Linked DNA regions of Callithrix jacchus. The protein of the gene in region 1 purifies or fractionates together with the protein of each later gene. This does not show direct contact. Links are inferred from orthologs where the notes say so. Each region holds a gene or a part of one and is shown on either strand. Other genes may lie near its edges. The genes, in order: LGALS3BP, MYCBP2 and HSP90AB1.

What was found.
Region 2: the proteins of LGALS3BP (region 1) and MYCBP2 purify together in Homo sapiens (co-immunoprecipitation; 3 studies listed by BioGRID and IntAct, counting the BioPlex papers as one, with this or other methods). This does not show direct contact. The link is inferred for Callithrix jacchus from reciprocal best matches to the Homo sapiens genes LGALS3BP and MYCBP2.
Region 3: the proteins of LGALS3BP (region 1) and HSP90AB1 purify together in Homo sapiens (affinity purification with mass spectrometry; 3 studies listed by BioGRID and IntAct, with this or other methods). This does not show direct contact. The link is inferred for Callithrix jacchus from reciprocal best matches to the Homo sapiens genes LGALS3BP and HSP90AB1.

The regions. Positions count from the first base shown.
Region 1 is NC_133506.1:134,722,265-134,725,359, forward strand, and holds part of LGALS3BP (galectin-3-binding protein), read right to left. Parts: intron 2,316-3,095; coding exon 2,184-2,315; intron 1-2,183.
Region 2 is NC_133502.1:38,207,427-38,211,081, reverse strand, and holds part of MYCBP2 (E3 ubiquitin-protein ligase MYCBP2), read right to left. Parts: coding exon 3,280-3,655; intron 2,391-3,279; coding exon 2,221-2,390; intron 1,504-2,220; coding exon 1,259-1,503; intron 1-1,258. UniProt on the Homo sapiens protein: Atypical E3 ubiquitin-protein ligase which specifically mediates ubiquitination of threonine and serine residues on target proteins, instead of ubiquitinating lysine residues.
Region 3 is NC_133505.1:52,714,896-52,717,572, reverse strand, and holds part of HSP90AB1 (heat shock protein HSP 90-beta), read right to left. Parts: intron 2,482-2,677; coding exon 2,275-2,481; intron 2,173-2,274; coding exon 2,013-2,172; intron 1,810-2,012; coding exon 1,676-1,809; intron 1,542-1,675; coding exon 1,233-1,541; intron 852-1,232; coding exon 686-851; intron 473-685; coding exon 282-472; intron 156-281; coding exon 8-155; intron 1-7. UniProt on the Homo sapiens protein: Molecular chaperone that promotes the maturation, structural maintenance and proper regulation of specific target proteins involved for instance in cell cycle control and signal transduction. Undergoes a functional cycle linked to its ATPase activity.

The DNA.
Region 1 (3,095 bases):
CCCCTTCCAGCCCAGGGTCTCACCACTTCCAGCCCCGAGCTCTACCCCTTTCAGCCCCCCAAGGCCCACCCCTTCCAGCCTCGAGGCCCACCCCTTCCAGCCCTGAGGCCCCACCCCTTCCAGCCCTGAGGCCCCACCCCTTCCAGCCCCGAGCCCCATCCCTTTCAGCCCCGAGGCCCACCCCTTCCAGCCCCGAGGCCCCACCCCTTCCAGCCCCGAGGCCCACCCCTTCCAGCCCTGAGGCCCCACCCCTTCCAGCCCCGAGCCCCACCCCTTTCAGCCCCGAGGCACACCCCTTCCAGCCCCGAGGCCCCACCCCTTCCAGCCCCGAGCTCTACCCCTTCCAGCCCCCGAGGCCCACCCCTTCCAGCCCCCGAGGCCCACCCCTTCCAGCCCTGAGGCCCCACCCCTTCCAGCCCTGAGGCCCCACCCCGTTCAGCCTCGAGGCCCACCCCTTCCAGCCCCGAGCTCTACCCATTTCAGCCCCGAGGCCCACCCCTTCCAGCCCTGAGGCCCTACCCCTTCCAGCCCCGAGGCCCACCCCTTTCAGCCCTGAGGCCCTACCCCTTCCCAGCCCCGAGGCTCACCCCTTCCAGCCCTGAGGCCCCACCCTTTCCCATCCCGAGCTCTACCCCTTTCAACCCCGAGGCCCCACCTCTTCCAGCCTCGCGGAACCAGAGCAGCTGAGACCTGGCCAATCCTGTCCAGATCCCCGCTAAAGGTCCTCTGCTGCGTTCTGCTCCCTCGGATTCAGGCAGCAGTCCCGCCTGGGGACTTGGTGGTGCTGACTCGGAGCCCCACTCCCCAGCCTCATTCAGTCAATCACCACAGACGCTGCCTACCTCAAACCAAAACCACTACCTGCTTAGATGGCCTGAAAAGTCAGGGTCCTGTGGCAACCCCATTTTAGAACTCTGGGGGTCCCCAAGCAGCCTCCTGTGAGGCACAAGGCCTGGAGAAGTCATGGGAGGCTCGCGGGTCGGGAGTCAGTGTGCTGCACCCTTCCCCCTTCTTTGAGCCCTCTCAAAGCCTAACTCAAAACTAAATCCCATAAGTTCTTTCTTTGCCACAAAGGCTTTAATAGATTTGAAGTAATTGTGAGGTTTCAACCAGGTGGGCTCGCCCTGGGCCTCCTCACACCTGAGGCCCCAGCTCCCTCCCACCTGCTCTTCACCACAGCTCCCCTGCCACAGGAGCCTTTGCCCTGCACCCACGGCCCCACGTGCTCCTCCCACCCGCCTCCCCCCACCGAACCCCCGACAGCCCCATGGTGTCTCCTGGGCTTCCCCCACTGTGAGGCCAGGCTCAGCTCCAGCTACTTGTTTGTCCCCTGTGAGCACAGGGGCTCCCTGGGATTCGATCCCTCCTGTCTTAGGGGCTCCTGACAAAGGGTAGTGGGTGGCAAGCCCAGGAAGAGCCACCTCGGCAGCAGGAGAGGAAAGAAAACCATGAAACTCAAATCCAGCCGGGTGCAGTGGCTCATGCCTGTAATCCCAGCACTGTGGAGGCCAAGTTGGGTGGATCACCAGGTCAGGAGTTCAAGTCCAGCCTGACCAACATGGTGAAACCGTCTCTACTAAAATACAAAAATTAGCCAGGCTTGGTGGCAAGTGCCTGTAATCCCAGCTACTCAGGAGGCTGAGGCAGAATTGTTTGAACCCAGGAGGCAGAGGGCAGAGAGCTGAGATTGTGCCACTGCACTCCAACCTGGGTGACAGAGTGAGACTTCATCTCAAAAACAACAACAAAAAACTCAGATCCAGGGGCTTTAGCCTGCAGAGCTGCCTGGGTTCCCTGCAAATCAGGGTGGGTTGGGAGAAGCAGGCTGCGGCTGTCAGTAACTGGGCCTCCTCTGCCAGGATGCGCTTGAGCCTGTCACGCTGGGGAGTGTTTCCAAGCGGGCACTGGCATTTCAGGTCAGGTGGAGCCAGGTGTCGTGCTCACTGGGGCTGTGTCTCACTGCCTCCCACTCAGGTTCCTTGGGGTGTTTCTCCAGAAGGGGCTGGGGAGGAGTCTGGGCCTGGGGGACTGGGAGCTGGTGGGCTCTCTGGATTCAGGGCCTCTCCATTCGGAGTGGGCAGGTAGTGGTGGAAGGAACCTTTGTGTGCTTCACGTGTGTTGGGGAGGTGCTGGGAGGGGCAGGGGCCACAGGCCCCCAAGGCATGCTGGAACCCCCCACTCACCGTTGGTGCACACCACACCAGCGTCCCTCTCGTGCCTGCAGTTGCTGTGCAGCCAGCCCAGAGATGTGCAGTCAGCCAGCGAGGGCTCAGTTCCCGTGCACTGGACCTCATCCAGCATGATGGGGCCCGATCCTGTGGACGCAGCAGATGGCAGGGCTGGGGGCCTGAGGACTGCACCCAGCAGCCCCACAGCGAAACTCAGCCCTTTGTTCCCCGCGCCGGCCGGGCAGGTCCTTCACCGGTAAACCATGGTGGATATTCCAGCGTGGGTTGGATTTGTGATTGCAACGTCAGGCCATGAACTTAGCCTTCATGCTTATAAAGCTTACTGGCTGCTGCAGACATCAGATTCATGTGTTCTAATTGTGTGCCTATCCCTGCGACATCAGGTTCATATACTGCAATTGTGTGACTATCCTTGCTGCTAAATAGTGGGTGGATTATTTCTCTTTTTCCCAGAATCGCAACTGCTGCATCAGTGAAAATCTTCTGCCTACAGACTTCTCTTTTGAGGGGAAATTGTTTCAAGAATATAAACTCCCTGGAGTGGAGTTTCAGGGCCAGAGCAAATGAGCCCAGCTAAGGTCTTGAACCTGCCCAAGCTCCAGCCACCATCACAAGCCAGGCATGGGTGACACAGTTCCATTGGAGCAGGACCCACAGGGCTTCTGCGCCATCCAAAGTGTTTGCTTTCAGGCTGGGTGTGGTAATCCCAGCACTTTCAGAGGCCGAGGTTGCAGATCACTTAAGGCTAGGAGTTCAAGACCAGCCTGGCCAGCATGGCAAAGCACCGTCTTTACTAAAAAATACAAAAATCAGCCAGGTGTGGTGGCAGGTACCTGTGATCCCAGCTACTCAGAAGGCTGAGGCAGGAGAATCACTTGAACTCAGGAGGCCGAGGTTGCAGTGAGC
Region 2 (3,655 bases), on another chromosome or scaffold:
AAAGATCAATTTCTCCAGAGGAAGTTTGAAAGAACTTCTCTCATTGGACGAGAACATGAATGGGGAGGGAATAATTCAAGGGTTAAAACTTCAGCTGCTCCTTACCTATAGGATTTCCCTCTCTGGGGTCCCCTCCCATGACAGCGTGGGAGTGGTCTTCTTTCTCTCTTTGTCTAATAAATCACTTTTCAACAAAACTCTTTGGGTCCACGATATTTATTTGAAAGGCAAAGTCACCGCGCCTCCAACCCCCCTTTCTCCATTCTTTGGGGTTAGAGAGGCCAAGAACCTCCCATCCCGGGGGAGATGGGTACCCTCACAGGGTTACATGAACTTACTTAGAGAAGGGTAGCTACCCTCTATCTTTACTTCTGGACGTTAATATACCGCACATTCAAAAAACTGAATGTTAAATAGATTGAATGTTAAAAATTGTTGTTAAATAGATTGATACAGAAACCAATTAACCTTTTGCTGACCTTACAGGGCTTAGTATTTGTTGCCCAACAGACTTTGAAGGGCACCCCACCAATGTTTCAGAAATGGACCAACTCTCAAGGAGGAAATGGGACAATGGCAGGGAAGAACAGAAATGCTAAAGGAGTGTAAGGAGAAGGGGTTTAAGAAAACATCTGGAGGATGTCACAGGACGCACCTCAAGACACCAGAGTTAAGGATCCTGTGAACAGACCGTCTCAAAATCCTAACACCCTACATACATGCTTCTATTGTAGCACTTCTCACACAGCATTTCAAATGTTTCACTGACATGCCTGACTTGACATCGGAGTATGAGTACACAGAAGCCAGGATTTTGTTATATTCATTCATTCAGGACCTTTTTTTTGTTATACTCATTCATTCATTAGCACAATACTGGTGCTAATTTAATACTGGTACTCATTTAAATGCTAACAGAATGAATAATTTACAAAATAAAAGTCTGCTACAGGAAACATCACTTTCTTTCTACTTCAGCATTTCCCACTAACAGACTGAAGTCAGCCTACCAAAGAGTAAAAGATAGCTACAGTCTTATTTTCTAAGACATATTTTTTATTCGTAACAATGCAAATTGATGAAGCATTTTTATAGTTTTTAAAATACCTATTACCATAAAGTCGTATGTCAGTCAAGGAAACTCAAACAAATGCCTGGAAGTTTCTTTATAGTACCACATCTAATGAAGTGTAGGTCAGTAAACAATCACCGTTAATCCACAGGTGATTAAAAAAAAGAAAAACCAAAATTTTATTACCTAGCTAATGTCTGCAGGTAGAGACAGGGCATTTTCACAGGCAGATCCTCAGAAATGCCTTCTTTCACGCTGGGCAACTGAGATTGGAACGGCTTTGCAGGATGGTAACACAGAATGCTTGGTTCTGCTGCGCTGCTCAGGGACAGCAGGAAGAGTGCGTTGGCTTTAATCACTTGGTGAGCTTCCATGGTGGGCAAGGCACGGGGGGTCTTGACTTGCATTGGTTTCCTCCTGGATTGTTTGACCTGGCAAAGAAAAAAATCAAAGTGATCCTTCCTGACTTACATTAAAATCCTTGGTTTCCTAAGCTAAGTATTTTGAGTTTCCCATTAAAAATTATTGAACACTTGTAAAACTATTTTAAAATAATAAGATTATAAAAGACAACATTTACTTCATATTTGTCCTGGGCTGAGTGAGACTATTTTGTATCAAACACAAACTATGCTTCCTTACTTTCTTCAGAAAAATATAATACCTAACCAGTTAAATCTAAAAATAATTCATTTTAAAAAGAGTAAATCATCTTAGTGTGTTATTCAGCAAAATTTTTTGGTTAGGTATGCCACTAAGGTGAATAAGGAAAAGAGAGAATAGATATGAAATAGGAAAATAAAGGAGTCAAAAAAAGAGGAAGAGAAAAGAGAAGGAAGGTGAAAAGGAAGGGTCTGTATATGTAGAGAGTAACAGACAATAATGAAGAGGTACAACACATATTTGTCAATAAGGCGTATGTAGCACAGGTTAATTATCTAGTGTTATTCCAATATATAGCTATTTTTTAAACTTATGAACAGGTGACTTAGTACAAATATTAAATTTATACATGATTTCCACTGTAGAAGCTGATCTTTAATATCAACTATGTGGAATTATCTGACGTAATAATAAGATCACAAAATGCGATTTTTATAAAGTGTATCCATATCATTAAAAGTATAGCTCCGAATGGAATCAAATACCTTCTCCCTTGCAGCAGCCTGTTTTTCACGGAGGTATTTTTCTCTACAACGATCACATACCAGGTACCACGTGCTTCCTCCTATGCCACCATCACCACAGTTACCAGCCCATCCTCCACAAAAATGCCCAATACTATTATATCCTTGTCCACCAGCATACCGGCCACAACCTTGAAACAATAACAAAAATAAATATTTAACACTCGAAGTGGCCTTAATAGTTTAATCCTTACTACTCGTACATTAATGACAGATTGACCGTCTCAAAGAAAGCAAAATACTCAAGTAGACACCTGATTTTCAGGCTACTAACTATATCAGAAAAATAGGTTACCTGATCAAAAGCAATCAATTAAATGATGCCCAAAATATTAGAGATACTTAGTTTCTATTCAGAATGATTAAAAAAAAGATAGGATACAGGTACATTTAGATATACTTAATTATGTCAATAAAATGAGACAAAACAAGTATAACAGTTCTATAACAATGATATATTTTCAGAAATCACATATTGATAAAACATTCGAGGTATAATATGTAGACAAAGAAAAAAATTAACCAAATTTGTACTAGGTGAATTTGGACTATTGATCAATGTTACAGAAATCCTTACATTTACTGAAAATGCAGTCTTCTTATCAATCAATGTCACTTTCATAGGAAGCAGCCTACAAAAATCAGTATAATCTAATTTAGTCTGCAATTGTGAACAGGAAAATACTAAAATAAAAGGAGATGGCCTGTGGGTACGGTCATGCCATTGTTTCTATTGTGTGAGACAGACACCTTAACGGCACCCTTTGTGTAACACATAAAATTTTTTGAAACATGCTACAGGAAAGTAAAATAGCACTAAATGACCTGGCCATCATACTGTTAGAATTTCTTTTATCTGTTTTTCACAAAACCCTGTATGGATAATGTACTTTAAAAATGACGTTCTAAGATACTATAAACTTTCTATCCTTTGATATAATTCATAGAACAGCTCAAATGAAGTGATCCCATTCATTAAAGAAAAAAGTACTTTTATGTACATTGGACAGTATCCTTTACCTGGGTGGGCTTGTCTCATGTGATAGGTCACCGGGTACGGATGTGACTCCCCACAGAGTTCACAGATGGTATCTTTCTCTGGTCCTCCCACTGCCAGCTGGGCCATCTCTCCAAACAAATTACCCCTGGGCCTAACTTCTGCCTTTTCTTTTTTCTTTTTTTCCTTTTTGGCCTTCTTATTCTCTTTCTCACATTCTTTCTTTTTAAGAACTGCACAGGAACCAGGACTTGGAAAAATCATATTCTGGGAAGCAGCTTTGATAGTAGCCAAAGAGATGTCTTCCCAAAAAGCCACTAAATGTTGCAAAGTTAAGGGAAGAGGAGATTTAGACTTCATTGTATGATGCATGGACATTTCAAAAGTGCTCTCGGTTTT
Region 3 (2,677 bases), on another chromosome or scaffold:
AACGTACCAGTGATGTAATAGATGGACTTCTGTGTCTCCTTCATGCGAGAAACATATTCTGACAGAGATGTCATCTCATCTCCAGACTGGGAGGTGTGATAGCGCAGCAGCTCAGACAGGCGGCGACGGTTAGTGGAATCCTCGTGAATTCCAAGCTTGAAGAGTGGGAAGAGAAAAAAACAATCCAACTTAACTAAAATAACCTTGCCTTCTATAAGAATGGTAGAATTTATCGTAATTACTAAGAAAGTGGTAAAGGGAATAACCATGTGCCTCCTTACCTTGAGATTTTTAGAGAATGCCTCATAGAATTTCTTATAATTCTCCTTGTCTTCTGCCAGCTCAGAGAAGAGCTCAAGGCATTTCTTAACAATGTTTTTGCGAATGACTTTCAAGATTTTGCTCTGTTGGAGCATTTCTCGGGAGATGTTCAGAGGCAAATCCTCAGAGTCAACCACACCACGGATAAAGTCTGCCATCAACCAGGATGAGAAAACTCAGTAAAAACAGCTAGACCAGACCTGGTACCCAGATTCAAAGAGAAGGCGCTATTGCCCCCTGAACCCTCACACACTATGTATTGCAGAGAACTATTACACCTAGGAATAAGACTTTTTAGTTGCAGAATGTTGAAAACCTTGCCCCAAGACTTCACCCAACTAAATTATGCCAAGGACATACTCACTGAGATACTCTGGTATCAACTCATCACAGCTGTCCATGATGAATACACGACGGACATAGAGTTTGATGTTGTTCTTCTTCTTCTTGTTCTCAAAAAGGTCAAAGGGAGCCCGACGAGGAATGAATAGCAATGCCCTGAATTCCAACTGACCTTCTACAGAAAAGTGCTGAAAGAATCCAAACATAAACAAGTAGTAGTACATTTCCAAAGAGTGCCTTTTAGCCCCAACAAATTACCTAAAAGTGGAACAATGATCCTCCCTAAGCCTAAAGGACAAAGCACACACAACAGGCAGCTCTCTAGAAAACCGAGCCTTAATGCTCTCAATGATCAGGGGCAGACATTACCAAGATTACCATCAGAAGACAAAGTGAGGTCATTAGGAAGGATAGCTCCTCACTGTGACAGGGTAATCAATGAAATCACATGGTTCTCAACATTTCTGTGATCAGGAGGACAAGTTCCATGTGTCTATTACCTGCCAAAACGCCACCTACTCACTCCTCTCCATATTTGTATGTTGAGCCAATGTGCAAGGGCTTCTCACCTTGACTGCCAAGTGGTCTTCCCAGTCATTGGTGAGGCTTTTGTAGAATTCTCCATACTCCTCTTGAGTGATGTCATCAGGGTTTCTAGTCCAAATAGGCTTAGTCTTGTTTAGTTCTTCCTGATCAATGTATTTCTCTTTGATCTTCTTAGTTTTCTTCTTCTTATCCTTACCACTATCATCCTCCTCGTCTGAACCCACATCTTCAATCTTGGGCTTTTCTTCATCATCTTTATCTTCCTCTTCTTTCTCACCTTTCTCTTCCTCTGCCTCATCATCACTAATTTCCTTCTCTCGTTCCTTCTCCAACTAAACAACAAAAACAAAAGTTAGCCTTGAGTACTAACCACTAACAGGGAAAGCAAAAGCCAGGGCCCATGATGACTCCAGAACAGGAAACACCCTGCACGTTAAGTGAAAAAGGTTTAAAAGTCCACACTCACATAGAGGGTGATGGGATAGCCTATGAACTGAGAGTGCTTCTTCACTACTTCTTTGACCCGCCTTTCTTCTAAGTACTCTGTCTGATCTTCTTTAAGGTGGAGGATCACTTTGGTACCCCTGCCAATGGGCTCACCTACAAGAGTCAGTCACAAGCATGTAACAGGGTGAAAATATAAAAGCAGTTAAGACTTCACCAAGCCAAAAAAAAAAAAAAAAAAGTATATTAGCGAGGCTGCTATAATTTCAACTGCTTTACAAACAGGATGCTAAAAATTTCTGCCACTTCACAAGCCCAGAAAACTCCAACCCAGCTTAACTTGTAACGGGAGAGCTTACCATGGTCAGCACGCACAGTGAAGGAACCTCCAGCAGAAGACTCCCAGGCATACTGTTCATCATCATTGTGCTTTGTGATCACAACCACTTTCTCTGCCACCAGGTAGGCAGAATAAAAGCCAACACCAAATTGCCCAATCATGGAGATGTCTGCACCAGCCTGCCAACAAGTTATTTAAAGTCAAACACAAGTTTTCGAAAAGCAACAAACCAAAGCACACTGACAAATATGAATGGTGTGTGCCTGCAAAACTGCACATACCTGAAGAGCCTCCATGAATGCTTTAGTACCAGACTTGGCAATGGTTCCCAAATTATTTATGAGATCTGCTTTGGTCATGCCAATGCCCGTGTCTACCAAAGTCAAGGTACGTTCCTGAGGGTTGGGGATGATGTCAATTTTCAGCTCTTTACCACTGTCCAACTTTGAAGGGTCTGTCAGGCTCTCATAGCGAATCTTGTCCAAGGCCTGAAAATACAAATAGGAATTTGCTTTTGTTTTCCCTTTAAGACAGGCTCTGGCTCTGTCGCTCAAGCTACGGTGCAATGTTAAGGATCACAGCTCACTGCAGCCTGGACCTCCCAGGCTCAAGCCACACTCCCACGTAGCTGGACTACAGGCACATGCTACCATGGCCACTTAATATTTTTTTTTTTTTTGCAGA